4 linked regions of the Tamandua tetradactyla genome follow. The main gene of each other region encodes a partner of the protein of the gene in region 4 in a complex. Links are inferred from orthologs where the notes say so. Each region holds a gene or a part of one and is shown on either strand. Other genes may lie near its edges.

Region 1 (7,676 bases), on a different chromosome or scaffold from region 4:
TACTCCTCTACTCCTTGTGGGTGGGGAGGTTTTGGCAAAGGTTTTCTCATTGGTAGAAGGCAGGTTATGAAGAATGATTCCCCAATCACTAAAATAAGGACATATATCATGAACATAAATCTTTTTATATTCAGTTGATCTAAAAGAACAATTCAACCAATATCCATGCCAGGGCCCAAGTACATGTATTTATTAGTCCCACTTTATAAATGAGGAAATGGACACCTTGTGAGTCAACTGCATGGCTCAACCTTAAACTCAGACTACAAAAATACTGCTAATATTAAGATCTTAAGTAACAAATGGTACAAAAGAAGGAGGTATGGCAATGCCACAGTAAGTTCAATGCATTTCTCTTGTTTTTGAGGCTTCTTTGAAGACAGAATTAATTTCCTACCCAATTCTACAGGCGACCTTTAGACTATGAAAATTGTGTAATGAGTATGGAGGGAGAATGTTTTCCCTCCCCCTTCACTCTTTTGCCTCCAAATGGCACAAAGCTTAGAATTTAAATTAAAATCTTGAGATGCAGCAGCAGCATTCAAAACGGGAGAAGGACCAACATGCTTTAAAATATCATATAGGTGGAATAAAAATAAATAATAGGGGGAACAAATGCTAAAATAAATTTAGTTTGAAATGCTAGTGATCAATGAAAGTGAGGGATAAGGGGTATGGTAGGTACAATCTTTTTTTTTTCTTTCCTGTGTTTGTTTTATTTCTTTTTCTATTGTCTTTTTATTTCTTTTTCTGAATTAATGCAAATGTTCTAAGAAATGATGAATATGCAACTAAGTGATGATATTGTGAATTACTGATTATATACATTGATGTTTTATTTGGCTTCTTAATTTTTAAATTAATAAATAAATAAATTTAAAAAATATATATCGTATGGGTCCCTCAGTGCTAAATTTCCATTTGCATAGATGGTTCTAAAATATATCCACCCTCTCTGACCAACCAACACCCTTCAAAGTTGACTTCACACACATACTTGCTCAGCACTTGCTCCACAGAATTACAGGCCCAGGGTAAACAGACACCACACCCTGTATGTCACTGTCCTGGGATGATGGCATACAAAAAGGGGGGACAATCTCCAGAAGCGTCCCAAATCTACAGCCCGCCCAAGCCTGATAGTAAGAGGCCGTAAAGAAAGGGTACAGGAAGGTGAAAATCCAGTAACATTGGCAGGCTGAAAGCTGAGGACTCGATCTGATATTGGACACTAACTGCTTGTATCCAATCAGGGATCTGGTACCAAGTATTTTGAATTAGGTACAGGTCAAGAACAGAGTGCTGCTCTTAGGAATTTTAACTAGTGCAGGGCCTACCTAGTTAAATCCCTATTGCAAGGACAGAACACAAAACTAGTGACTGGACCCACTAACTAATACATTCAGCCACAGGTCTGCAAGTATGATAGCAGTTTCCCTGGAAAGAGAAATCAATGCTAGCTTTCCCTTGAAACCTATACACTGCACTATTTTTTTTTCCAGGACGCCAGAGGCATTTTCTTTGACCATTTAACAGTCCTCAGCTTATGTTAGTGCAAAAATAAAACAGATTTCCTTTGGGTGTGGTTTTGATATTTAAACTTTCACGACCACGAACAAAACAAAAACAACAAAAAGTTCAAACCTCTAAAATATCTCAGACTGTAGTGGAGCGCTGTCCAATAGAAATACAAGGGGGGCCATATATGTCATTTCTAGCAGTAGCATTGTAAAAAGTAAAAGGAAACAGGAAAAATGAATTTGGATAAAGTTACCATTCAGCACGTAACATATGAAATACAGAAATATTTGATGGTTTTTTTTCATAGTAAGTCTTCAAAATCCGGTGTATATTCTACAATTACAACACATTTCAATTTGGACCGCCGCATTTCAAGAGCTCAAAGATTGCCTGTGGCTTACTGCGAGCAACGTATTGGAGGACAGCCCAGCTCTAGAACCACTTAAACACACACACACATACACAGAAACAACCAAAGCAAACACAACCACGCCCCCTCGAAAAACACACATCAATTTCAATAAATAGGGCATTCAGAGTTGGGCTGTTATTGCTGGGTTTTAGTAAATGCAGAGAGGAAACCTAGGAGAGTAAAAGAGGAGGAAAGGAGGGCAGAAGAGAAAGGGCAGAGGCTACACGAGATGAGCGTAAGAGTCCAATTGCTGCCTCCGCAGAGCCAGCGCGCTCTCCCCACCACGCCAGCCCCAGGCCTTGCAGAACAACCAAGAGTTGATGAGGGGAGTGGTCACTGCCGTTTGGGATCCAAAATCCGCTGGCCCCGGACAGGCGTCTGCGGAGAGGGGTGCAGCTGGTCTCGGGGTCGGCCCGGGAACCGCGCTGGCGCCCTACCTGTCGAGCAGCGGAGTGTGGATGTGCAGGTGCTTCACTGCCACCTGAACGCGCCAGTCCGAGTGGCGGGCGGACGACACGGTGCCCGAGGCGCCGCGGCTCAGGTAGCGCAGGTCGGCGAGCTTCTGGTAGGGGATGGTGGGCAGGGCGCTGCAGATGGCCTCCCCGTTCATGGTTGCGGCGGCGCGGACACTCTGGCCAAGGCTGGTTCCCGGTTTGCCCGCCGCGGCTCGGCCCCGCCGTTCCTGCGGCTTCTCCGCCAGCGCTCGGGCTCCGGGAAGCGCCCCTGCGCCAGGCAAGCGAGGGCCTTCCTACTCCGAACACTAAGTCACAAGGTCGCCCATTCTCCAGCTCACGCCGGATCCTGCACCGCCCGCTGCTTCTTCCGAGCTGGAGCGGACGCTTCTTTTCTGGAAACAGTGTTGAGCTCAGGAGCGCCGCGCCTTGCCAAGGAGAAGCTTCCTATCCGGGACGGGTTCCTCCCAGCCGCACCCCGCCACCCGGGCCGGGCCGCCGAGCTCCTCCCCCCAAACTTCTCAGGCTACGTCAGTGGCGGACACTGCGCCCGCGAGAGGCAGGCCTCCCGGGCAAACTCCCGCCCCGCGTGAGCCCCGGGAGATCCGGGGAGGCTGCGGCTGGGCCAGGGAAGTGAGGGACGGGGAGGGACCCGGGGGCGCTTCTTATGTTCTCTCTCCTCCCGCCCCACTCCCCCGCCCCGGGTTTGGAAATTTTCCTTTCGGGGAAGTCCCTCTCAGCGGCCTGCTGGCTGAAGTCCGATTGGTGAGCGGACCCTCCCAGCCCGGCGAATTTTCTTCCGGCCCAAAGTCGGGAGATGGAGATGGAGCGGGTGGGGCTGGGGGTAGGGGTAAGGGGAGGGGGAGGGGGAGGTGTAGGGGGAGGACGAGCGGAGTTCGCGTGGCGACTCTGCGCCTGTGCAGAAAGCGCTTCTGGGCGCCTGGTGGTTTCCTAGGGCCCCACACAAAATGAGCCCGGCGTGGCCGTAACGGTAAATTTGCCGAACTAGACGCCCGTCTTCCCTCACTTCTAGTTACTTGAGGAGTGAGAGGTAGTTGATAAACCCTATAGGAGTGCAGCACGCTCAGTGGTTCAGCTCTAGTTATATGCTCCTGTACTAGGAATCTGCCTTCCTTCTCCTCCCTAATTTCCATAACTATATAGAGAGATACTGAAAATGACCCTGAAAGAGCCCTTGCCTCTGATTCCAGGTAAGACTGCAAGGATTTATTTCCTACAGATCTGGGAGAAATGCACGCAGTCCTTAATGCCAACAACAACAGCAACAAAATCTGTCTTTCCACCCTTCTTGACAAACATCTTTCTACTTAGGTGACTATTGTGTAGTTGCATAGAGTATGAATGCAAACATTATATTCCATAACAAGTCCACACTAAGTATTTAATGAATTTTAAGGCAACGATACTAAGGAATGCCTGACTTAAATGGAGGAATTCTGCCTACAGAAAATCACTGCTTCTGTATTTTTTGAAACAATTTTTGAGATATAATTCACATATCATACAAGTCATCCATTTAAACTGTATAATTCGGTGATTTTTAGTAAATTCGCAGATATTTGCAACCATCACTACAGTCAATTTTAGAACATTTTCATCACTTCCAAAAAAAAACCAAACAAAACCATGCCCTTTAGCTATTACTTCCCTAAGCAACCACTAATCTGCTTTCTGTCTCTGATTTCACTGTTCTGTACTTTTATATGAAAGAAATCAGATAATAAATGGGATTTTGTGAATGGTTTCTTAGGATAGGGTTTGCGATATTCAGCCAATATGTGTCATGTATTGGTACTTCATTCCTTTTTGTGGCCAAATAATATTCCATTGTATGGATATACCAGATTTTGTTTATCAATTTGTTTGTCATTGATAATGGCCATTTTTGTTGTTTCTATCTTGACTTGAATAATGCTGCGCTAAGCATTTGTGAACCAGGTTTTTCGTTTCTTTTGGATATATACCTAAGGGTGGAATTGCTGGTCATTTAATTCTACGTTTAACCATTTTAGGAATTGACAGACTCTTTTCCAAAGTAAATGCACCATTTTACATTCCCACCAGTACTGTCTGAGGCTTCCAAATTCTCCATTGCCTTGCTAACATGTTCTCTGACTTTTCTATTCTATTAGCCATCCTAGCGGGTGTGGTATGATATCTCATGGTCATGGCTTACATTTCCCTGATCTTGAGCATCTCTGCGTGTGTTTGTTGGCCATTTGTGTATTTTCCTTGAAGAAGTGTCTATTCAGATCCTTTGCCTGTTTTAAAATTAGGTTATTTATCTTTTAATTTTTTTCGTTGTAAGAGTTCTTTATACATGCCAAATATCAAAAACCTTATCAGATACATAATTTGCCAATACTTTCTCCCATAATGTGGGTTTCTTTTCACTTTCTTGAAGCACAAAAGTTTCAGATATTCACAAAGTTCAGTTTACCTATTTTTTCTTTTGCTGTTTGTTCTTATTATGTCACATCTAAGAATCTCTGCAAAAGCTAATATCAGGAAGACTTAACTCTGTGTTTTCTTGTAAGAGTTTAGCAGTTGTAGTTCTTATCTTTAGTTCTTTGACCAATCTTGAGTAAATTTTTATATGTGGTATGAGGAAAGGGTCCCATTTCATTCTTTTGCCTATGGCTATCCAGTTTATCCAGTACTTTTTTTTTTTTTTTTTTTTTTTGCCTGAGCAGGCACTGGGAATCGAACCCTAGTCTCTGGCATGGCAGGCAAGAATTCTGCCTGCTGAGCCACTGTGGCCTGCCCAACACTATTTGTTTTAAAGACAATTCTTTCCTCATTGAATGGTCCTGGCATCCTTCTTGAAAAATCAGTGACAATAGATGTATGGGTGTATTTATGGACTCTCAATTATATTCCATTGATCTATATCTCTGTTCTTATGCCGGTACCAAACTTTCTTTTTTTTTTTTTTAAAGGAAAGACAGAGAGAAGGAAGGAAGGAAGGAAGAAAGGGAAACATCTTTAAACATTTTCTTGTTTTATTGTATTTTGTTTTTTTGTTTTTGTTACATGGGCTGGGGCCGGGAATCGAACCGAGGTCCTCCGGCATAGCAGGCAAGCACTTTGCCCGCTGAGCCACCGCGGCCCGCCCGGTACCAAACTTTCTTGATTACTGTTGCTTTGTAGTAAATTTTGAAATTGGGAAGTGTGAGTCCTCTTACCTTGTTCTTCTTTTTCAAAATTGTTTTGGCTATTCTGGGTCCTTTGCAATTCCACATGAATTTTAAAATCAGCTTGTCAGTTTCTACAAAGAAATCAGCTGGGATTCTGATAGTGATTGTATGGAGTCTGTAGATTAATTTGAGGAGCATTGCTGTTTTAGCAATGTTAGGTTTTCTAATCCATGAAGATGTTATGCTTTTCATTTATTTTTGTGTTCTTTAATTTGTTTCAGCAACATTTTGTAGTTTTCAGAGTATAGACTTGTACTTTTTTGCTAGATTTATTTAAAATAATTGACTTTATAGGCTAATTTTGAGTTTTTTGAGAAATTATATTGTTTGGTTATTTGAAAAAAATGAATGAGAAAAATGAGGCAATTATAATTCTATGAAAAATAAAAATTATAGAAGAAAGGAAGAAACATTTCTTCAAACTATTCTGTGGTGGTTATTGAGTGAAGAGTGTAGGCAATTTCAATAGTTTTGATTTATTAATGTTTATTGTACATAACTGAGGATGACAAAAGAGGAGATCCAAAAAGCAAATAAATGTGAAACAATACTCAACATCATTAGCCACCAGGCAATTACAAATTAAAAAACACATTGCAACACCACTACACACGTACTAGAATGACTAAAATTCAAAAGAATATAACAAGTATGGATGAAAATATGGGGCAGATAGAATGCTCCTACAGTAATGGTGCGAGTGTCAGTTGATACAGTGTTCCCCAGAAAACAGTGTCTCAAAGAGCACCTGATGTATTTAATGACAAAAAGTCTGTTATAATGAGAGTCAGAAAAGTACATGCTGGTTTTTTTTGTTTGTTTTGTATTTTTTGTATAGCCGGACACCGGGAATACTTGGCATATGAATTTATTTACTTCAGCTTGTCTTCAGACTCACAGTGGCTTCGTTGTTTTCCTGTGAATCCATTTTACTTCATCAGTATCCTCTTATGTCTAAATGTTCGAAATTCCATATAATCAATGAGAGTGAGATTTGCTGGGCTTGTCTTTGATGTGAATCTATTAATGCAATGGAAGACAGGATTCTTTTTCTTTTCTCTTTCAGCAGTCTTGTTAAACTATTAATTTAGATTAAGCCTGTGGTCCATTGAATTCTCAAGGTTGTTCTTTTTTTTTTTTTAAACTTTTTTATTGTACAATATAACATATATACAAAGCAAAGAAAGAAAGAAGCAATAGTTTTCAAAGCACTGTTCAACCAATTGTTACAGGACAGATCCCAGAGTTTGTCATGGGCTGCCATACCATTCTCCCAGATTTTTCCTTCTAGCTATTCCAGAATATAGAAGGCTAGAAGGAATAAATACTTTTTATCATTACAATCGACATTTTTTCTTTTTTATGAAAAATGACGTATACAAAAAAGCAATAAATTTCAAAGCACAGCACCACAATTAGTTGTAGAACAGATTTCAGAGTTTTGGTATGGGTTACGGTTCCTCAATTTTAGGTTTTTACTTCTAGCTGCTCTAAAATACTGGAGACTAAAATATCAATTTAATGATTTAGTAATCATGTTCATTTGTTAAAACCTATCTTCTCTGTATAACTCCACCATCACCTTTGATATTTCTTCCCTCTCTTTAGGGGTATTTGGGCTATGCCCATTCTAATTTTTTCATGTTGGAAGGGGCTGTCAGTAGTATTGGATAGGAAGAAGGAGCTAGCTGATGTTCTGGAGAGGCTGGGCCCTCTAGGTTTCAGGACTTATCTGGTCCAGGGACCCATTTGGAGGTTGTAAGGTTTCTGGAAAGTTACCCTAGTGCATGGAATTTTGTAGAATCTTTTATATTGCCCTAGGTGTTCTTTAGGATTGGCTGGAATGGTTTTGGTTGGGGGTTGGCAAGTTATGATAGGTAGCAATGTCTAACTGAAGCTTGAATAACAGTGACCTCCAGAGTAGCTTCTCGACTCTATTTGAACTCTCTCAGCCGCTGATACTTTATTAGTTACACTTCTTTTCCCCCTTCTAGTCAGGATGGAATTGTTGATCCTACAGTGTAAGTGCCGAACTTATCCCTGGGAGTCATGTCTCAGGCCGCCAGGGAGAGC
Region 2 (7,196 bases), on a different chromosome or scaffold from region 4:
CGGAGATACCTGCAGATCCCGCATTCCATCCCCACTGCAGCCTGAGACCCAGGGTACCCCTGATGATGAGGTGGGTATGCAAGACTGGCCTGGGGCTGGGAGTGGGGCACATGGTATTAGCCTCGGGGCACAGCCACCTAGCCTAACCTCTGTCCCCACAGCCCTCTGAGCCTGAGCCCTCACCCTCCACACTCATCTACCTCAACATGCAGCGTTGGAAACGCATCCGCCAGAGGTAAGCATCTCCTACACCTGCCTGCCCTTCTATGGTCTCTGCCCCAACTGCTGAGCCTTCCCTCTGACCCCCAATCCCACCCCAGGTGGAAGGAGGCATCTCATCGGAACCAGCTCCGTTATTCAGAAAGCATGAAGATCCTACGAGAGATGTATGACCGACAGTGATGTGCCCCTGTCTCCCTACCCCAATAAACAACTCCCTCCTCCACACTGGCCTCTGCTTGCTCCATCCTATCTCTCTCTACCCAAAAACAGGCAGCTGGTACAGCTCCAGCACATTTATTGGGAGAGTGGGCCTAGGTGGGGACAGTGGGGCAGGGCAGCAGGGAGTTCAAGGAGGGAGCAAGGTGGGGAATGAAGGGGAGCATCTGCTTGATTGAGGATGAATAGAGAAGTGTGGAAGGTGAATTGCTTGGGATATCTGGCTGGGGACTTGGGTCAGAACAAAGAGCTGAGGTGTTAGACTTGGGGAAGGGGGCCTGGGGTATCTGCAGAAAGTCTGGGGAAATTGGGGGATGTCTGTACAGTTTGAGGGTGGGGATCAGGTTGACCTGGGACAAGTGGGGTCTGTCCAAGGGTGGGGATCAGAAAAGGGATTCAGAAGCCTAAATTTGTCTAACTGGGATTTCAAGACAGAAGATGGGCGTGGGGAGAGTGGAGTGTCTGGTTGGATTAAGGGAAAGAGTCCGTTTGGGGAACCCAGCCCGGATGGTCTTGGGTGGGAGTTTTGTACAGAGCCTGGGACAGTGAGGGGTAGGGTGTGGGGAATGGGGGAAGTTAAGTCTGACTCTTCTGGGGTAGGGGCAGGGCTGTGTACACATAATCTGGAGTCCAGGGGAAGGGGTTTGAAGTGGGGGGTGTAGAGGAGGTTTCTTCCTAGAGTAAGAGGAGAATAGGAGCGTCTTGAATAGGGATATCTGCCAAAAGAATGGAATCAGTGGGGAGGGGAGCTGAAGGCTAGGGGTAGTGCTGGCATAGGATCTGAAGGCAAAGAAGGATTGGGAGCAGGGTCTGAAAGTTGGGAGAGGGGGTATCGGAGAGTATAGGGCCTGGTATCGGGGCAGGGTCCCGGATGGGTGTTGTGTGGTCTTGGCGCGCTCAGGACATCTGGCTGGGCAGAGTCAGGTCGACTTTAAAAGAGGGGGCCTGGGGAGGCCCGGGATTCAGGCGTGCCCGGATCCCTACTTGGCAGCAGCTGGCGGGGCCGACGCGGGAGCAGCCTGGATGGACAGGACGCCCTCGGGGGACAGAGCAGACGTCACGGCGGCTGGGTCCACCCCCGGCGGCAAGCGGTAGCGGCGGTGGAACTCGCGTGCGATGTAGCCGTGTTCATCCTGGGGACGGGGAGAGGCTTGAGCGGCACTGCCCCTGCAACCACCATCCCAAAGCTCTTAAAGTAAGGTCTTCGCCCCGCCCGGCCTGCCTGGCCTTCAAGACAGCGTTCCGGCCCCACCCCCGCCAGAGAGCTCACCGGGCGCTCCTCGTGCCGCGCATGCACCTCCACGTGTTCACCCACCACCTTGACTGCAATCTCCTCCGGTGAGAAGTGCTTTACGTCCAGCAGCACCGAGAAATGGCCAGGATCCGTCGGCACCTGAGCATGCGGGGCAGAACTGTCATCGGGAGGGGCAAGGCTCCCGGGACCCATCAAGGCCCTTCTCGCATGGGCCTCGGTGCTACCCCGCCCCAGCTCCTCTGACCCGCGCCTCCGGAACTGGGGAGTCCTCCGTGTGACGGAGTAGGGTCCCTCTCCCCAAGTCAGCATTGGGATCCACTTCTCACCCAGGGTGATGTGGCTTCCTTTTCTTGCAAGGTCGGGAACTTCCACCTTTACAAGGTACCGAAACCTGACTCCCACCTCCGGTGTTAATGACCCCTTATCACCGCTCCCCCTGGGGCACTGACTTCCCACTTCTCAGTCACCGGATTCCGTTCCCTATCCAGGCCAGAAATCACGAAGACGCCTATTCCCCCAGTCTCTAGGTTAGAATCACAGGACCCCTCTGGCCCTCGGCAATTACTGGTTCTCCTCCCCCACTTCTCAGTGGCCAGGGCCCACTTCCCAGGTCACAGGACCCGCCCCCCCCACACACCTCTATCTTTCCAGGAGACATCGGGCCCCCCACACTCCAATCTCCAATCTCTCCCTAGAATACCAGAACATACCACGCTTCGGGAGTCACTGGGGGGCTCCTCCGAGCTTCTGAGAATGACTGGGCTCTCCCCTCTTTCTTCAGAGTGAACGCCCCACCCTAAGGGTGATGAGCCTTTCCACCCCCTCAGAGCGACAGAAACCTCCCAAGCTCTTCAGTAACCCGGTGCCTCCACTCCTCTCAGAAGGCTGAATTCCACCCTTGGGGGACTCTGGAATCTCCTCCAAGTGGCCGGGATTCTACACCCCACTAAAAGTCATCGGACATTCCCTCAACCCCCTCAGGAAGACCCGGACCCCTGGCCTCCGGAGTGACCGGGTTACTGCCCCTCCCCCAGGCTTGGCACCTGGGCTACGGGCAGCGCCACGCTGGGTGCGCGCAGGTAGTAGGGGGCGAGCGCTGGGGGGCAGACTGCAGCCAGTTCGGCCTCGAGTAGCCCCTCGCCGAAGCGCTGGTCAAAGAGGCGCCCGGGCGCCGAAAGGCCGGGCAGTGGGGCCGAGGCACGGCGCAGCCAAGTCGGCTGTACAGGCACCGGGATCTCCATCCTGCTCCGCCGTCGCCGCCGCCGCCCTGGGCGCCGCAGTGCCTCTGCGTACGCGGCAGCCGCCTTATAGCGCACCCCTATGCCCGCCCCTCGGCGGGCCGCCCAGGGACACCGGGACCGCGGCCAGACCTGGCCATTAGTAGAGCCTTATTTAGAAACCCCCAACAATGACTTGGCCATTTATTGAACGCCTGCTGCATGTCTAGCAAAGGCAGCCAGGGAGGTGTCATTAAGAGCCCCCAACTTCCCTTGGAGGCAGCCTTGCCAGGGAGGGGGAGGCGCGGCGTTTGGGACCCAAGGCCAAGAACCCCACTACAGAGCCCCCGGCCCTTTTAATACACCCCCACTCTCCAGGCAGCTCTGGGGATGACGCAGATGGCGGCCTTGGGGGCAGAATCCTGGGTAAGGGAAATGCAGCGACCGGGCAGGTTGTCAAAAAGACACAGAACAGATCCTACCCCCACCCTCCGCTGGGCCCTGGGATCAGCCTCCTAGCAAGCCGGGCCTAATTCTGTTCCTCTGACTCAGCCTCGGGTACACAGGCAGCAGGATCTGCCAGGTGAGCAGCGTCCAGGGGTCGCAGGCACCAACAGTACAGGCTGGCCCCCCGGGGCCGAGGCCCGAAATAGCTCCTTTTGATCCTGCCACCTCGGCCAGGTGCCCAGACCTGGCGCCTGGCTCAACCAGCTGCTCCTGTATACAAGAGGGATGTGATTAGATAACCGACAGGACTGCTGGCTGGCTAAACTGATGGACGATGGTTAGCGAGAGAAAAGACTCCCAGATTGTCCCTGCAACCAGAAGTACAGTGGTTAGATTGGAATCCGAAAGGTAATTCTACAGCAAGACGCCGAGCGGCCTTAGATCCTTTCCATTCGTTTACAGGCTTGCCAATCACTGCTGCCCGGTATAGGCTCACCATTCAAACATGCTCTCTCGTTACAGCCAGTCACGAAACTTCTCCCTTTGGCCACTTTACAGTTAGCTCTATTTTCCTCCCGTTCATTGGCTGCCTTGGGGGGCCGCTCTTTTTCCGCGCGAACACTACCAGAGAGGGGCGGGGCTGAGGAGCATTGCTAAACGACAGAGATGCGCGCGGGGCCTGTAGGTGAAGGAGCGGAACTGGCGCCCTCAGGGCCACGAGATGGACCGCAAGTAAGACAGATCCTTCTTCCGGGGATAACAGGAGGCCTGAGGAGGACCGAGGGATGAGGGCGAAAGAGCCTATGGGCAGAGTCGCGAATCTCTCGCTTTCAACCTCACTGGAACTACAATTCCCAATATGCCTCACCTCCCGTTACCCCTCCAGCCTTGGACTTCACCATCCCGGGGCGGGGGGGTGGTCCTCTAAGTATCTTATGTTTTGCTTTGTGGCCCCAAGGGCTTCTTTCCTCTAAAGGTGCCCAAGGGCATCTTGGGAATTAAGTCTCTTTCTTTTGAATTTATCTCCAGACACCCATGGTGTCTTTCCAGTATTCTAGCGTCTGGTGAAGCCCAATGACTCATGGGGATTGTAGTCCGCCTCTGTTTTTCTCCTTAGTGCCCCAAGTGATTTATGGTCTAGCAATGGTTCTTAACACCGCAAACTGCATCAAAATCACCGGGAACGCTTTGAAAAAGATAGGGATGCCTAGCTCCACTTATAGATACCCTGATTCTTTGGGTCTAGGGTGGGGACTGAACATACGTATTTTTAAGAGGCCCTCCTAGACTGGATCGAACGTTGAGAACCGCCAGCTAGCAGTTCCTGGGTCCTGCTCAGAGGGTTCATGGAAATTCTGCCTCCGGTATCTTTACATTGAATAAGCATCGGTGTCTTATGAAAATTAGACATCTCTTCCAGAGATCCATGAGAATTATAGTCTGGTCCTGTTACCACCCCCCACTCCACACCGCGCCCCACTCCATTCTCCCCTTGCAGTCTGCCAGTGTTCTCCATACAAGGCAGACTTTTTAGGGACACTCCCTGACTCCAAGCCATTACAGCCTATCCAGAAGCCAGACCTGGTGCCCCAAGGTAAGGACACCCCACAGAGAGTAATGTGTGCCAGCCCAGTAGCAAGGGAGTGACAGCTAGAGGGAAGGTAAACAAGGGATAAGAGATGAGGGTGAGAGGTTAAGAGACAGTCCCGGGCCCCCACTCCCCCAAAGGCCCTGCCCTTGTCCAGCCCTCTACCACCTAGTTCCTCTACCACAGTCCCTATCCGTCTGAGTGGTTACCACTGTGGGATGTGTTTCTTCTTCTCTGGACTGAGACATCATGTGTGTCTTTGTCCTGCTATAGGAATGCCTACTCAGACCTCACTGTTTCATCTCTTCCTCTCCTCTGTCTTAGGCCCTGAACCCATTCCAGCACCACAGATCCAGGCTACCAGCAGTTCCCCAGGCTCTGGCCACAGCTCCCAACTCCCCTGAGCTATTTGAGGAGTCCTGGCCATCCAGCTCAGGCACTCCTTCCACAACCAGCACCTCTGAGGGACAGATGGGAGCCCTACCACCACCCATCTTGGCAGACAGTGAGGACTCCGTGGTGGCCAAGTAAGTACCACCAGAAGCCTAAGGGGAAAGGAAAGTTTGGGTCAGAGGGAGAAGGCACGCATCCCAGAATAGTCATCACAGCCAGAGCTGTTTATGCAGTACTCTTTTAGGACCAAGTACTTCATGTGTGTTATTTAGAGTTTAGGTTCTGGAACTGTACTGTCTGGGTTCAAATTCCAACCCTGTAGCCTATCTGTGTGATCTTCGCCTCAGTTTCTTCATCTGTAAATTTGGGATACTAATAGCACCTATCCCCTAGGGCTGTTTTGAGTTTTCAATGATTTACTGTATGTAAAGCATCCATAACAATGCCTGTCACAGAGTGAGCACTTTGATTTGTAGAATACAGGTTCAGCTGCTATAACAATGAATCTCAAAATAATCGCGGCTTGAACAAGAGAATTTATTTCTCTTTCCTGACGGTTCACGCAGAAACACTTAGCACTGATAAGGCAGCCCCTAGGCTCCTTGTGTCTTACTGTTCTCCCATCCCTAGGCTATTACCCTTACCTTCATGAACCAAAATGGTCCCAGCTACATCCACTTTCCAGAATCACATTTGTTAGTCCATCTTGTTAGTCCAAACCTAATCACATGGCCTCAAGACTACAAGGGCATCTAGGAAGTGTAGGCTATAGAAGAACGGCTGTATGCCCAGCTAAAAATGGCATTACTTTGTGAGAGAAGAGAACAAACAAAGAGGAGCAACTACCAGGCTCTGCCATGGTGCTTGATAAACACTGTCTACTGTTATTATTATTTTTTTTATTATTTGGCTCACCTCTTTCCACCTACTTCCCATGCCCTTATGCTCACAGGTATATAAACCGGTTCCGCCAGGCCCAGCCCACAAGCCGAGAGGAACGCCAGCCTGCAGGCCCAACCCCAGCTGACTTTTGGTGGCTGCAGCCCGAGTCTCTAGCCCCCAGCAGTCAACATGCAGCAGGTACCTGTTTTAGTCCCATCTATTGCCACCCCCAGGCCTGAAACCTTTCTTCATCAATGCCCTTGGAAGCCTCTCCTATTAGGCCCTCTAACTCAATTAGGGGCTTCTCAGCAGGAGCCAAGAAACCAGAAGGAAGATCCAACGCAGCAGCCCCAACTCCTGCCAAGGTGGCCAGTGCATCCAAGGCTGTGGGCCCCCTTCAGGAAATGAAGCAGGTGACATCTCCATCTATCCCCTCCCCTGTGCAATTGAACTGATAGCACCAGCCCTGGGAAAGAATTACAATGGATCCCCAATTCAAGGAAACTTAACCAGAATGGAAGAATTTTTGGTTAGTGCAACTAAGAAATCCAAAAGTTGATGCTTTCAGGCATGGATGGATCCAGGTGTTAGGACAGTGTTGTGGGAACGTCACTTTCTCGGCTCTGTATTCCTTTTTTGGGCTCATCTCAGGCAGCCTTTTCCCTCACATTAACCAAGATGGACCCCCAGAGCCTAGAGCCTCCCATGGTACTAACTTAGCTACTCCAGGGAAAGAGAGGACTTCTCCAATAGCTCCATCCAAAGCCCCAGGACTCCCTCTCATTGGCTTATCCTTGCGCCAAGCCCTGAGCCAGAGAATAGAATGTTGTGATTGGCTAGGCCTGGTGAAGAAGATGACCTTCCTGACAACAAGGACTTCACAGATAACAAGGACTGTACATGGGGGTAGAGGGGATTCACAGATGAAAATCGCTCTTGCCTGAAGAAGCTTAGAGGCCAGCAGGTGAGGGTAGCA
Region 3 (7,267 bases), on a different chromosome or scaffold from region 4:
GCATGACTTGCTTTCTCATATCCTTCCGGGCTTCCCTCAAAGACCATTTTCTCAGTGAGGCCTTCCCGGACCATTCTATTCACATCGCCACCCTGACAGCACTCTCTTTTCCTCTCCCCGGTTTGATGTTTCCTCATAGTATGTATCACCTTCTTACACAGTGTATATTTTACTCATTTTGTGCCCTCCCCTCCCCACTCTAGCATGTTAGCGTCATTCAAGTTTTTATCTGTACGAATGAGATACTTCTGTATCCCCAGAGCCCAGGATACTGTCTGGCACATAGTAGGTATTTAATAAATATTTGTTAAATCGAATTTAAAAAGCTGTCAGAAAAGGTGACTGAAATTCTGATCTCTTTAAAAACAAAACAGTTTGGGGGAATGGTGAGGGTGAGTTAATGCTACCTTGTTAAAAAAGCCCTCGAGGAAGGGTAAAAAAATAAATGTGTATTTGCACCGGGAGAGGCAACTGGGCAAGACACTGTGCACCTTGGGAGAACGGCTTGCGGCTGTATAGCATTGGGGAGAGAGGACTGCATCTGCGAACACCCGCGCTGCCCGCCCACACCATGTGGATACTTGTCTACTAGGCAGGTGCTTTCTTTTAAGTTGTTTGGTCTTTGCCTCTAGCAACTTGCGAAAGATACAGAACTCTGGGGTGGCCTACGTGACACTTCTCAGCTCTAAGTATGAAACCAACAGGAGTGAAAACAACAAACTAGGTTCTGAGTCTTGGGGAAGCAGAGCCCATTTTAGAGCAGCGCCCGCAGAGCAGAACTTTCTGTCCTCTACTCAGGCTCCGCCTTTGTACTGTTTATCTGAACATTTCTCCCTGGTTTACTAGCCTAGCCTGCAGCTGAATACTTTCCACAGGAGGATGGTGCTCTGATCTCCACGTTCCCTCTTCCCTCGGGGACTCCATAGTATTTTTTCACGCTTCGTCGCTACTACAGCAGACGCCTGCTTTCTCATTATTTGCTGTACAGATCTCCGGTGACTTGACTGTAAACAAAACACTTTAGATCATAGCAAGGTCATAAGCACAGCCTTTCTGCTGGCAGCCAGACTTCTTAAGGTGGCGTGACTGATTCATTTAGTTTTCAAGTTTAGCAAAGCAACAAAATGGTGTTCCTACCTATTAATCGAAGAAAAATTGTGTAGGGGATAAAAGTGTTACTCTTCCACTGTTATACAAGTGGAATTTTGTGTAATTCCACTTACGTTTTTACATGAATAACATCAAACTTCTGTGTAAGGTAATACTCAAGAATTTCTCCATTGACTTACATCTGGTAGTTTGTGTATTTGTGCATATTTACACACATGCACACATATAATATAGAATTCCTGTGTAGTCTAGAAAATATTTAAAAATTTGGACAAGCAGAAACTCTGAAACCCAGAGTTACCAGTGTCTACAAGAGTTCCAACATGTTGCATTCCCCTACCCCATAATATTGACACCCCTTTTCAACATGGAGAAGTTAGAATGGTCATTACCTAAATATCCCTAAAGAGTGGGAGAAGGATCAAGGGAGAAGGAGGAGTTCTAATAAAGAAGACAGGATTTAACCAATGAATATGACTACTGACTCATTATATTGGTATTTCTTTTTAGTCTCCACTGTCTTAGAGCAGCTAGGAGACTGCTCTAAGGTGAAATTTCAATTGAAAGGTGAAAATATTCCCCTAAGGATCAATGTCCATCTTAGGAAGTTTGTTATAAAGCTACTATGTCCTCATGTCTGATTTTATTATTTGGGCATTTATTTTTCTGCTCTCCCTTGAAACTTGAAACTTAACCATCAGTTTGGTCTTGAGCAAGGCGGTGGAAGTTAAATCAGGATGGGCAGGTCTGTCATATCTCAGACATAACTCAATGAGTCATTAACTGTCTCCCCCTACCCCAACTCCCATATCATACATAGAAATTTGTTCTCTAACTTCTTGTTAAAATATGCTTTGCAATTTACCACTTTTTTGTATATATGGTATATTTCACAATAAAAAATGTTTTAAAAAATTGGGCAAGAATGATCTAATTTCAAGGGTAAAGTATAAACTACCTGGTAATGAGGGCTGTTCTAACTTTCCTGTTCACCCATCCCCAATCCAATATTTTAAATGGGCCATTAAATGCAGAAAAACAAAGAGGATGAGAATGCCTACTTTGATCCCAGCTGAATTATTTTCTGTTGGTCAGGTAGGAAGCCCTGACTTTGAAACCACTTCTGGGCACTGTCTTTGTCACTCTTTCTGCATAGCACCTGTGTCCTTTTGGAATGTGCACTTTAGTTGAAGTAGTTGATAGTGATGCCAAAGGCCAGTGTCCTCTGCATTAAAATATCCGTGACCATAAGCCAAATTATGGAAACATCTGCAGGCAGTCTAGGGCCTGGGAAGGAGCCATTTTGAATCACTTGTACTAGAAGAGGACTTGCAGGCTACAGCACAAGGGAACTCAGACGGAAACGTGAACCAATGGGGATCATTAGAAAGGAAAGGAGCAGAAAATGAACCAGACTGAGAGTTAGGAGACCTTGTCTAGTCCTAACTCTGGTACCAACTGGATGTGTGTCCCTGGACAGGAAACCTCTCCAAGTCTCAATTTCCTCACTGGTCAAATAAGAGAGTTGAACCACGGGGTCCTGACAATCTTCCCAGCTCCAACCATTTTGGAGTGTATACAATGAGGAAGACATGTAAAATGGACAAACAAGATGTGGCTGTGAAAGCAAGCTAAAGAGCAAACTCATCTAGCATGAAGGCATGAGAAAATATTGTTGCTGTGTAATATTTGCAGTGAATAAATTTCCTGTAAAATGTCTTAACTTTGACCCAAACTAAAATAGTGTGTATTGGGAGCTGGGGTGGGAGGCAGTTAAAAACTCATTGGGTTATGTCTGAGATATGACAGACCTGCCCATCCTGATTCAACCTCCACTGCCTTGCTCAAGACCAAACTGATGGTTAAGTTTCAAGTTTCAAGGGAGAGCAGAAAAATAAATGCCCAAATAATAACATCAGACCTGAGGTAGCTTTATAACAAACTTCCTAAGATGGACATTGATCCTTAGGGGAATATGTTCACCTTTCAACAGCTTGCAACGCCTTAAAAGCGTTCACTCTCATCTGATTGATGTTCTGGGTGGGTTGGAGCAGTGAATCTGGTGGGAGAGAAAGGTGGAGGAAGGAAGGAGCTGTTGTGTTTGGCGCCGGGACACAGGTAGAGGAAACTGCTACATTCCGGGAAAGAATTATAAAGTATAAAGAGAAGGAGACGAGTCCCCACATGCAGCCAGTGTCAGTACCCTTAACTGTACTTGGGAAACAAGAACTTGAGCCAGGAGTATAACCTCACTTTTCAAACCTAAATGTATCTGAGATGGCTACAAAGTTTATTAAGGGACTTGGGAAACCTAGGGGACCAGTGCAGCTTTTGATCTCGGGACCCTTTCTTTTTTATTGCAGGAAAGCTTGAGTTCAGAATATATTAAAAATGCTGTCCCTACTCCCGGCTAATTTATAGAAAGCGGACAGCCCTGACTTCTACCCTAAGCCCCCTGACTCCCCTTGGATAACAGAGACTCCTGGATTAAGGATGAACTAATCACCGCCCACCTTCACTCCACAACTAAGACACTCAGGCGGGAAGGTGGTGGTGGTGGTATTCCCAACCCTTAGTAAATGTTTGCCGGCCTCCTCAGCAGTCCGCGAAGTGGGGGGCGGGGGTGGGAGCACTAGTGAGAGATCAGCAGACCAACGCTCCCGCACTCTGCCTCTGCCCCTCAACCGCCCGCACCCGGGGTCGGCGAGTGCTGGGAAAATAAGATCGCCACCGAAGCTCAACACAATCTGCAAGCACCCTTAGAGACCTTCGGGTCCAGCCCCTTCGCTTCACAGCGAGGAGCTAGAAGTCAGGTTTTACCAGCCGCAGCGGGCCAGACTGCGCAGCGCCGGGACCAGAACCCCAGGCCCCGCCTGCCCTGCCGCCGAGGCCCCTCCCCAGCTTCCCGGCCGTTTGGCTAGTTTGTTTGTCTTATTTTTAATTTCTCCGGGGCCAGCCAGAGCAGGTTTGTTGGCAGCAGTACACCTCCAGCAATCACGCGACCAGCCAATCTCCTTGCTGCACTCTCCGAGTCGGCGCGCCCAGACCGCGCCTGGGCCACCTTAAGGCCGCGCTCGCCAGCCTCGGCGGGGCGGCTCCCGGCGTAGCAACCAATGGATCTCTTCCTCTGTTTAAATAGACTTGCGGTGTCAATCATTTTCTTCTTCGTCAGCCTCCCTTCCACCGCCATATTGGGCCACTAAAAAAAGGGGGCTCGTCTTTTCGGGGTGTTTTTCTCCCCCTCCCCTCTCCCCACTTTCTCGCCACGCTGCGATTCTGACGCCGGCAAGGTTTGGAGAGCGGCTTGATTCGCGGGACCGGCGGGTTAGCTGCTGCCGGGACTTGGACTGGCTTTTCCACCTCCTCCCCCTGCCTCCTCCCCTCCGCTCCCCGCCCTCCAGCTCGCCCGCACACTTGATCCGCGGAGACTGTCGGCACTGCCTCTCCGGGGCTTCCCCTTCCCCCTCCCCCAGACCCAGTGCGCTCCTGAAGCCGGGGCAGTTACTTGTTAGTGTTTGTTGGTCTTGGCTCGGAGGGCATCGCGGGGCTTATAAAAGGGGGTTGGGTTGGATCGGGGCGTTTTGTTTTGTTCGGTTTTGTTTTTTTGAGAGCGCGAGAGAGGCGGTAGTAAAGACCCGGGAGGAAAATGTCAAACGTGCGAGTGTCTAACGGGAGCCCGAGCCTGGAGCGGATGGACGGCAGACAGGCGGAGTACCCCAAGCCCTCCGCCTGCAGGAACCTCTTCGGCCCCGTGAATCACGAAGAGTTAACCCGGGACTTGGAGAAGCACTGCAGAGACATGGAAGAGGCAAGCCAGCGCAAGTGGAATTTTGATTTTCAGAATCACAAGCCCCTGGAGGGGAAATACGAGTGGCAAGAGGTGGAAAAGAGCAACTTGCCCGAGTTTTACTACAGACCCCCGCGGCCACCCAAAGGCGCCTGCAAGGTGCCCGCACAGGAGAGCCAGGATGTCAGCGGGAACCGCCAGGCTGTGCCTTTAATTGGGTCCCCAGCAAACTCAGAGGACACACATTTGGTAGACCAAAAAACTGATACAGCAGACAGCCAGACGGGGTTAGCGGAGCAGTGCAATGGGATAAGGAAACGACCTGCAACAGACGGTAATGACCCTTTCAAAATAATAAAATGTCTGTCTGTCTGTCTGGGGCCCCGCTTTGCCTGGTTGGGGCGGGGGTGGGGGGGGCGGTGGTGGCCCACGTCTTTACCTAAAAGTTTTCTTTCTTTTCGGTGTACTTTGTTGTAGCTTTTGGTTGTGAACTTTATTAATCTTAGCTTGTACGTGCTACCTGACTGTTTGTTTATGATGTTTAAATCAGAAGCTGGAGATTGTAGTATCTGAGCATTTCTCTCACCGCAGTTCCCGCCCCCGCCCTGCTAGGCAGCTGTAGTAATGTGGGTGTTTATCAACGGTCTCCCTCTCCGCTAGGCAGAGAGAGATTTGGGGCGTAGAATTCACTTTCTGTTATGTGAAAACAACTTTATTTTGTGCACTAAAAGGCCACTGGTGATTGTGGGTAGAGGTGGTGGGCTTTTCATTCCACGAGTTGACTCACGGGCCAACTTTTGTCAGCCATTGCTTTTTTCTAACAAAGCTTGTTTGTGTTTTGTTTTCCTAAAATTCCTCCTTGCCCCTAGATTCTGCTCCTCAAAACAAGAAAGCCAACAGAACAGAAGAAAATGTTTCAGACAGTTCCCCGAACGCTGGTTCAGTGGAGCAGACGCCCAAGAAGCCGGGCCTCAGAAGACGTCAAACGTAAATCATTTGGTGGGTTGATCACTAAGGCATATAACTGACACCCAAACTGGGCTGCAGGAACCCGTGGACCTTCAGACTCCAAGATAGCTGATCTGACTGGTTGCTGGCAGATTAGGAGCTTATGGGGTTTTGTGATGTTTATATTTTGTGAGATCAGAAAAGTAGGATGAAGAAGGCTTGGAATCACTCTGGGGATACTGTAATTCTTCAACGTTTCCCTTGATACACTGAACTAGAACAAGTGTCCCAGGCAAGCAGTGGTAGTGAGGGCCCATTGCTAGGAATGTCATTTCCCTGTCAGCCCCACCAAAACATGCTGAGAACAATAGGTTCTTTCCCCATCTGAACAAAACTGGGGTAAGCCTCAGTCCCACTTCATGAGAATTCATTTCAGAGGTTCTGGAGGATTCAGTAGATTCTAAGCCATACACAGAAATGATTAAATTTAAAATTTGAGGGAAGAATTAGGTACAAATAACTCCATTTGGTTAATCAAGTGGTTAGAAATGTGAATAGGGTGGTATGTTGCTATCTTTTATCTTTTGTCACTTTCACAGACTGTCACTTTTCCTGTTTTCTTGCAAGTTTTTGGGAGAGAGAAGGAAACTGCATATTTAAAAAAAATCCAAAATGGAACGCTCAAATATACTAAACTATACTACAGTGGTAGCACTGAAGTTGGGAAGCAGAAGTTAAATTTACTCTACCAGAGAAGCAATCCATGACCACGTCAGCATGCGTATGCTAATCGTGCTGTAATAGAACGATTTGGATATTTGTAGGGGAAATGGACAGTAGATACCAGGGCTTCCTGAGGATAGATTTAACCAGTACAAGGGAAGGGGAGAATTCTGTCTACTAAAATCTGATCTACGCAAATAGCTAATTTGTATAATTCAGCACCAAATTTTCTTAGATTATAGCGATTTATAATAATGAAATTACTTATATTCTAATAGCTTACAGACTTTTTAAGGACAAGGACCCCGATATCTTTTTCCCCCCAAAAAATATACTATACTTAAATATCTGAATAAATGTTGATATTAATGTTTCAAATCATTTATAAAAATTTTAAAATAAAAACACAGGGATTTAAGTGGGAATCAAGTTTGTTCTATTTTTAAGCAATTTGGAATGTAATATATATGATTTCTCCTTATACGTGTGATATTTTTTAGAGCTTATACAAAACAGCACTATAGAACCTTTATATTACAGTTCTATATGAAATGAGGAAGTTTGTAAAAAAATTCCCTTAATACCTGAAGCTCTACTGGTCTGATAGCTTTGCTCTTCAAAACCACAGTAAATCAGATCTACTGGCACACAGAGAAGCATTTGTCCATAAATATTGCCAATTCAGGAATACTAGAAATA
Region 4 (6,881 bases):
TTGGTCACTAACACTCTTGTGTCCCAGCTGCGCTTTCTCTCACTTGCCCGTTTTCTCTCCTGCTTTGTTGTCTGCTGCCCCAGTCCTGGCCTTTCTCTGGGGGAGAGGCAGATGCTATGATAGCACCTGTTCCCACTGCCAGGGCCCCTGTAGGCTTCCTTGTTCTTCCCAATCCTGCTAACCCTCTCTCTTCTCCTTCTTTGCTGTCCTGTCCTGGATCTCCAGTGTGTGCTGGGGCTTAAGGACCTCCTGAGGACCGCTGCTCTCTGCCTCTCCAGGGGTGGCCTTGGGGAAGCCAGGCACCCGGCACCCCCACCTGCCTAACCTGTGGCCCGTCTGCCACCATCTGTGCCTACAGGGTCTGCCCCCAAGTCTGCCCCACATGTGTGCTCTCTTGGCACAGCCCCCTCCAAAAGAGGACGGGGCTGACCTCTTTGCCCCCCATCCACGCTCCATGCTGGCCAGAGTGTAGAAAGCCATAATGCAGCTGTCAGCACAATAATGTAATACTATGCTGAAACTCTCCCTTCCCACCTCCCCTTACTTTCCCTTCCCCAGATTTGTGAGGTGGCAAGACCCTAGGAATCTTGCCTTACAATCTCCCCCAACTCCCCACCCCCCCACCCCCCCAAAAAATGGCCGGCATTGCCATAGTCAGGTTGAGCAGGTTTCTTCAGGAGCCATCTGGAGTGCTGATGGTTGATGACGCTGCTGAACAAGTTTGGTGACTGTTCTAAGCACAACTGGCTTGACACTGTTCCCACGGCCCCCTCCACCCCCACAACCTGGAATAGGTAAGGATGCAAGGAGGGTGCTTGTACCTTTAGCTCCAGGCACTGACTGCCCCATGTTTTCAGAAGAATTAAAGGAAACTGGACCAGGCCTTGGAAACCAGTTGAACCCAGGGTCGGGGGCTGCTTGTCTGCTGTCCTGTACCTTTTTTAACCAAAATAAAGATACCCCTTTTCTTGCCATACTCTCGACTGTCTGCTGCCGCCTTTACTGTGGGGGCTGGGGGTAGAGTCTGTGGTCAGTGTGCAAGACAACATATGGCTATCTCTCACCTCTAGCTTTGTTCCAGCTTGTCTAGAGATTTTAAAAGACACACACACATACACACACACACACAATAAAGCCAAAAGAGACAAGAGTAGCCAGCATCCTTATCACTCTGCACCTCCACAACTCCGGTCTCAGTTCCAGGGATCCCCAAACCCAGGCTGAGACAGAGAGTTTAGCCCCAGTTCGTGGCTGTCACACTTTTGAATTGAGCCCCACCCAGGGTAACAATCTCATGGAATTTATCCTGTCCCCAGCTGCTGCCCAACATCCAGTCAAACACATACAGTGTGCAAGAGCTAGAAAATAATCACAGCTACCATTTACCAAGGACTGACCAAACACCAGACCCCTTTTCTTACCTTAACCAATGACGAAGGTGCTGTCAGTCCTGTTTTACTGCAGCTCAGGGCAGTTACAGGACCTGCCCTTGGTCACCTTGCTGGTAAAGCAGCAAATCCAGGATTTGCACCTGATCCCTGCCCTGATCTCTGGCCTGTCTGCCCTACCTAAGGAGTGATGAGGGCTGTTCCAGGAGAGTGGGCACTGCAGAGGGAGTGACCCAAACAGAGGAGAATGTCAGAGACAGCAGAAAGGGGGCTTAGAAAAAATCTGGGCCAGCCTCTTCAAATTGTATTGATGGGGAAACCAAGGCCCAGAGGCAGGCAGAGACTTACCCAAGGCCTTATATACAGAGCTGGAATGTAGTCCTATACCCTGACCTCGTACCATTTTCTTTCTACAAATTCCACACTATCTCCTAGACTAGATTGGTTTAGGAAATGAGGGATACTCTAAACAGCAGTACCATGAGGAGAAAAAAACAAAACAGCTGAGTCTCTTAAAATGTATCTGCTCCCAAAGGCAACTACCGTAGTGAGCTCTAAAAGAGCTGGAAAACTAGCCTCTTCTTCACAACTAAATGGGAAGAAGGTGCCATAGCCTCCTCGTGTCACCTTTTAGTTCGAACATTCCAAGACTGAAAAATTTCCTAGGAAGTTCTTTCTGAATCTAACTAGAGTCTTTCTTACTGCAGTCAAAGCCCTGTTCTCTGTTCTTGTGAAAGTAGATAGCAATTGGTTACTGTGTCACAACCCTTCCACTAGGAATTGATTGTCTATAGGCCCAGAGACCTTGAGGCTGCTGATAGGACAGATGCTGTGTGGAGGGGTGGGGAGGTTAGTAGAAGGGATGGGGAAAGTACCATTGAGCAGCAGCCCCAACTTCTGTCCTGCTGACTCAGGTGACTGACAGTGGAGCTCTGTGCTATGCCAGGACCTGCTGCCTCCTGCCTGTCTGGGCTCTGGACTTGGGAAACAGAAGCCTGGAGGCAAAGGGAGGTGCAGGAACTGAGTCAGGACTGACAGGCCAGAGCGAGCAAGAGGTTTCTAGCAACCTGTCTCCCAGATTCACCCCTGAGCTTCGGCAGGGGAGGGGCAGGTATGAAGGGGGACTCCTTTCCCTTGCTCTGGGGCTGTGCTGAGGGCATAGAGCTTTGGCATGAATCACCACCAGGTCCCCTGGCTTAAATGGTGGGAAGGGAGGACTCCCTGGAGTCCAAAGAAGTTTCCTGGTACCCTGGGACCTCGAGCTTTCCCCTCAGGACTTGGGAAAGCCTGGCTAAATGACTAGTGCAAAGGAAAGTACTTGAGGGCCCACAGCCTTCCTTAGACCAGAGGAATGTCCTAGATGGAGAGAGAAGAGGCAAGGTTTCAGCACATCTGTCCATTCATTCAGCTGGAGAGGGGAGAATGTGGGCCAACATTGCCTCCTTCTCTCTCCTGTGGGTGCCCAGCTGGGCAACATCTGGTCTTCGACTGAGGTCTGGTTGACAGCTCTTCCTCATTTCATAAACCCAGCTCCATGTTAATGCTTTGTGTGAATATGTTTATATAAGAAAGTTGGTTGGTTTTTTCACATAATAATAATAGTTACTGTAGTCACCACCACTCTCAAGTGCTTTCCCTGGACTCATTTAATCCTCACAAGTCTCATTTTACATTTAGGGAAACTGTGGCTCACAGAGATTAAGTAACTTGACCAAGGCCACAACAGTTTGTAGTGAATGAACCCAAGCAGTCCATCCAAAGATACTAGGCTGTGTTCTGTCTTTCATAGAAAATGATACATATTCACTACTGAAAATTTGGAAAGGATAGGAAAATCCCAAAGCAGAAAAGTCAGAGCCTCACTATCTAAAGTTACCCTCTATAAGTTGACATTTTAGTGTATTTCCTTTCCATCGTTTTCTGTGTCAGTGCTCCAAATTGAGCAGAGTCTTTGGGATGTCTAGCCTAAAATCCTTTCTGCTTCCTTGGAAAACCTAGGTCTAGGCATAAGCCTAGACATGTCCCTACTCTTCCATGAAGCAAAGAGGCATACCTCATCTTTGGGCTCCTTCCAGGAGGGCAGGGTGGGTGTTCAGATACCAAGAGGAACCAGGGAAGGCACAGCCCTGCAAAGCGGTCCTAGCTCAAGGATTAGACTGGTTGAGTTCCAGCAAGGGCAGTCCCTCCCCTGAGTCCCAGATGAGCTTTGGCTAGGGGTGGGGCAGATAAGAGGAATCCACTCTCATAGGCTCAGTGCCAATACCCTTAGGTGAAACTCTGGAATGACTGGAGGGCAGGGCTCAGTGAGCAGGGACAGAAGGTTGGCAAGGAGAAGATTCCATCTTTGGGACCTCTGCCAGGGGTCAGAGGTGGTGTAATGGGCAAAGGGAAGGGATAGGGAAACTTCTGAGAGGCTAGGCTGAGGAAGGAGTATATGCTGGATTGATGCCCCATAAAACAAAATGGTATGTGTCACCACCACCTCCATTTCCTCAGTACTGTCTCTCTCCCCACATTGCTGGCGTCCCCCCTGGGGAATCAGACCGGGCTGAGTACCCACGTGGTCTGCTTCCCACCCTCTGACAGAAGAGCAGGCTGAGTCAGGCAGGAAAGTGGGACAGCCAAGGAACTGGGCCCTCACCCCCCATGAGCCCTGCTGATACATAATGATGGCAGGTGGCTTGGAGGGGGCAGGTGGCCTAGCACAGAGAGCCAGAGAGTAAGTCCTCAAACAAGTGGCAACAGGCCACTGACTTGAAAGGGAAAATTGTGCTGTGATAGGGAAGGTGCCTGACAAACCTATTGCGTGACTAATTACAAAGGCCGGATTGGAGCGTCAGTGGCCGCTTGTTAAACACCTCATTAAGTGGCACCCTGAAAGCTGCCACCTCTGTAGTCTGGGAGCTCAAAGGGACCAGGACCCTGAGGGGAAATGAGGACGAGAGCTTGGGACCTTCTTCAGGGTCTAAATACAGCCTGGAGCTCACAGATCATAAAAGGCCTTGATGGGAGAGAAACCAAAGGAAGTAGGGTACAGAAGGGAGAGTCATAGGGATTTACTAGCTATGTGACCTTGAGCAAATTTCATCCCTCTCTGAGCCTCAGTTTTTCCATCTTTGAAGTGGGAACAGTGCTGCCCACCTTACAAAGCCATAGTAGGAAAAAAATTAGATCATGGATATGAAGTGCTTGGGAAACTGTATAATCCCACCTAAACATGAGTTACCTCATCTGAACCAAGGAGGCAGGATGAGGAACCCCATCCTCCTGTACCTGTCTATATGGGCACTGCCTGGGCTAAGTAGCCAGGTGGCTGATGCCATCTGTTTCCCCTGGAAAGATGCTGTGAAGGAGGATCTAATATGAGAAACCCAGACAGCTAAAAGGAACACCCGTGTAATGGCAGTCCTGAACAAGAGGAGGCAGCCAGGAGCCCCAAAAGGTGTTGGTGCAGGTGGGGCCCACTCCTGCATTTCTCCTGCTGACTGTTCTGATGACTCACCTCCACGTCCTGGCCCTTTTACCTTTAAGGAAGAGCCGGAAAGGGTGTGGGGAGAAGAGGAGAGGGAAGTAGGTCCCAGGCCTTAGTCCCTCCCCCTACCACTCCCCACCCTCCTCTGGGCCAGGCCACCCAGCCAAAAGGCAGGCGGAAAGCAGGAGAGGCACAGAGCTGAGTCCAGCATTGGTCCTGAGGCAGCTAGTAAGCCCAGCGCCTGTACGACTGTCCCCAGAGCCATGGAGAGAGCCAGTCTGATCCAGAAGGCCAAGTTGGCAGAGCAATCTGAACGCTATGAGGACATGGCAGCCTTCATGAAGGGCGCTGTGGAGAAGGGTGAGGAGCTATCCTGTGAAGAGCGCAACCTGCTCTCTGTGGCCTACAAGAACGTGGTCGGTGGCCAGAGGGCCGCCTGGAGGGTGCTGTCCAGTATCGAGCAGAAAAGCAATGAGGAGGGCTCGGAAGAGAAAGGGCCCGAGGTGCGAGAGTACCGGGAGAAGGTGGAGACCGAGCTCCAAGGCGTCTGCAACACTGTGCTCGGCCTGCTGGACACCCATCTCATCAAGGAGGCGGGTGATGCCGAGAGCCGGGTCTTCTACCTGAAGATGAAGGGCGACTACTACCGCTATCTAGCTGAGGTGGCCACAGGTGATGACAAGAAGCGCATCATCGACTCAGCCCGGTCGGCCTACCAGGAGGCCATGGACATCAGCAAGAAGGAGATGCCGCCCACCCACCCCATCCGCCTGGGCCTGGCCCTGAACTTTTCCGTCTTTCACTATGAGATTGCCAACAGCCCCGAGGAGGCCATCTCGCTGGCCAAGACCACCTTCGATGAGGCCATGGCTGACCTGCACACCCTCAGCGAGGACTCCTACAAAGACAGCACCCTCATCATGCAGCTGCTGCGAGACAACCTGACGCTGTGGACGGCCGACAACACTGGGGAGGAAGGGGTCGAGGCTCCTGAAGAGCCCCAGAGCTGAGCCGGGCCTGCCATCCACCCTGCCCTACCCCACCCTCTCCAGTCCCCCACCCCCGGCAGAGAGGACTCGTATGGGGTGGGAGGCCCGACCCTTCTCCCTTAATGCCCTGCCCTCAGCTCAGGAAGGCTCCATGGAGAGGAACCAGCAGAGCTGAGGCCACCTGGAGCCACAGCATCTCAGCTGTCAGGTGCTTGTGACCACTGATCTCCCCACCTGCCCCAGCTCTCTGCACCCCTTCCTCCGTATCCCGTCTGGGACCTGGGCCTCTTCTTCTTCTTCCTCTCCTGCCTCCCTCCTGCCCCTGCTGCCTCTGGATCTTCGGAATTGAGGAGTGTCCCACCCTTGTGTCTGAGAGGGGACTGTGGTGGGGAGGTTGGGAATGAGTGTGTGTGTGACCGTGTGTGTGAGTGTGAGAGCAAGATGGAGAATGAGAGGGAAAGCATGTTTGCTGGGTGTGACCATGTTTCCTCTCAATAAAGATCCCCTGTGACACTACTCCTGTCTTTTCCAGTTATTGTCGGTGGGCTGGGCCTGGGATTGGTGTATAATTTACAGAGACCGACTTTGGAGCTCTAGTTTAAGGGTCCCGACCTCCTCGAAGGGCCAACTCAGGCCCCACAGACGGGATTTTGGTGTGTGTGTGGGGGGGTGGCTCGAGATGAGAGGCAGATGGGCCAGCTCTCGTCAGGCTGGCCCCAAACAAACTGGGCCAAGGCGAGGGTGAGACTCCTCCGCCAGATTGAAGGGAGGTGAGGGATGCCTCAGTGCAGGAAGCCAGGGAGCTTGGGTCTGAGGAGGCAGGAAACTAGCGAGGGCTCAGGCTGAGGTCTCAGGACAAGGCCCCTAGCACGAGCGCTCCAGATTTGAAAGCCAAGAAAAGTCCCATTAAGTGTTCAGATCTGGGCGGGGAAAGGGAGTATGAGGCAAGGGTATGACGCCGCCATTAAAAGTTCAGATCTGAGGAGAGGGGAGAACAGAATGAAACGCGCTGTTGGGAAAGAGGCGCAAAGT

The links.
Region 1: the proteins of SFN (region 4) and RIPK2 are in contact, whole or in part, in a crystal structure (PDB 7OBS), measured with the Homo sapiens proteins. The link is inferred for Tamandua tetradactyla from reciprocal best matches to the Homo sapiens genes SFN and RIPK2. Residues at the interface, in NP_006133.1 of Homo sapiens: Lys49, Arg56, Arg60, Lys122, Asp126, Arg129, Tyr130, Pro167, Gly171, Leu174, Asn175, Val178, Tyr181, Glu182, Ile219, Leu222, Asp225, Asn226, Leu229, Trp230; in NP_003812.1 of Homo sapiens: Leu535, Gln536, Asn537, Lys538, Ser539, Met540.
Region 2: the proteins of SFN (region 4) and HSPB6 are in contact, whole or in part, in a crystal structure (PDB 5LTW), measured with the Homo sapiens proteins. The link is inferred for Tamandua tetradactyla from reciprocal best matches to the Homo sapiens genes SFN and HSPB6. Residues at the interface, in NP_006133.1 of Homo sapiens: Val46, Lys49, Asn50, Arg56, Arg60, Lys122, Arg129, Tyr130, Glu133, Gly171, Leu174, Asn175, Val178, Glu182, Met202, Leu205, Glu210, Tyr213, Leu218, Ile219, Leu222, Arg224, Asp225, Asn226, Thr228, Leu229; in NP_653218.1 of Homo sapiens: Pro9, Trp11, Leu12, Arg13, Arg14, Ala15, Ser16, Ala17, Pro18, Leu19, Ser84, Pro85, Glu86, Pro107, Asp108, Glu109.
Region 3: the proteins of SFN (region 4) and CDKN1B are in contact, whole or in part, in a crystal structure (PDB 7ORG), measured with the Homo sapiens proteins. The link is inferred for Tamandua tetradactyla from reciprocal best matches to the Homo sapiens genes SFN and CDKN1B. Residues at the interface, in NP_006133.1 of Homo sapiens: Lys49, Arg56, Arg60, Arg129, Tyr130, Glu133, Leu174, Asn175, Val178, Glu182, Leu222, Asp225, Asn226, Leu229, Trp230; in NP_004055.1 of Homo sapiens: Arg194, Arg195, Arg196, Gln197, Thr198.

The regions. Positions count from the first base shown.
Region 1 is NC_135332.1:133,084,278-133,091,953, reverse strand, and holds the start of RIPK2 (receptor-interacting serine/threonine-protein kinase 2), read right to left. Parts: upstream 3,011-7,676; 5' UTR 2,544-3,010; coding exon 2,371-2,543; intron 1-2,370.
Region 2 is NC_135342.1:30,228,699-30,235,894, reverse strand, and holds HSPB6 (heat shock protein beta-6), read right to left. Parts: upstream 2,988-7,196; 5' UTR 2,935-2,987; coding exon 2,737-2,934; intron 1,832-2,736; coding exon 1,709-1,831; intron 1,572-1,708; coding exon 1,419-1,571; 3' UTR 501-1,418; downstream 1-500. Other genes in the region: LIN37 (protein lin-37 homolog), read left to right, coding at 1-70, 162-235, 321-402; PROSER3 (proline and serine-rich protein 3), read left to right, coding at 4,024-4,089, 5,270-5,472, 6,291-6,418, 6,530-6,633. UniProt on the Homo sapiens protein: Small heat shock protein which functions as a molecular chaperone probably maintaining denatured proteins in a folding-competent state. Seems to have versatile functions in various biological processes.
Region 3 is NC_135333.1:75,264,570-75,271,836, forward strand, and holds the start of CDKN1B (cyclin-dependent kinase inhibitor 1B), read left to right. Parts: upstream 1-4,248; 5' UTR 4,249-4,756; coding exon 4,757-5,231; intron 5,232-5,766; coding exon 5,767-5,888; 3' UTR 5,889-5,896; intron 5,897-7,267. UniProt on the Homo sapiens protein: Important regulator of cell cycle progression. Inhibits the kinase activity of CDK2 bound to cyclin A, but has little inhibitory activity on CDK2 bound to SPDYA. Involved in G1 arrest. Potent inhibitor of cyclin E- and cyclin A-CDK2 complexes.
Region 4 is NC_135328.1:199,376,802-199,383,682, reverse strand, and holds SFN (14-3-3 protein sigma), read left to right. Parts: upstream 1-4,956; 5' UTR 4,957-5,123; coding exon 5,124-5,870; 3' UTR 5,871-6,365; downstream 6,366-6,881. UniProt on the Homo sapiens protein: Adapter protein implicated in the regulation of a large spectrum of both general and specialized signaling pathways. Binds to a large number of partners, usually by recognition of a phosphoserine or phosphothreonine motif.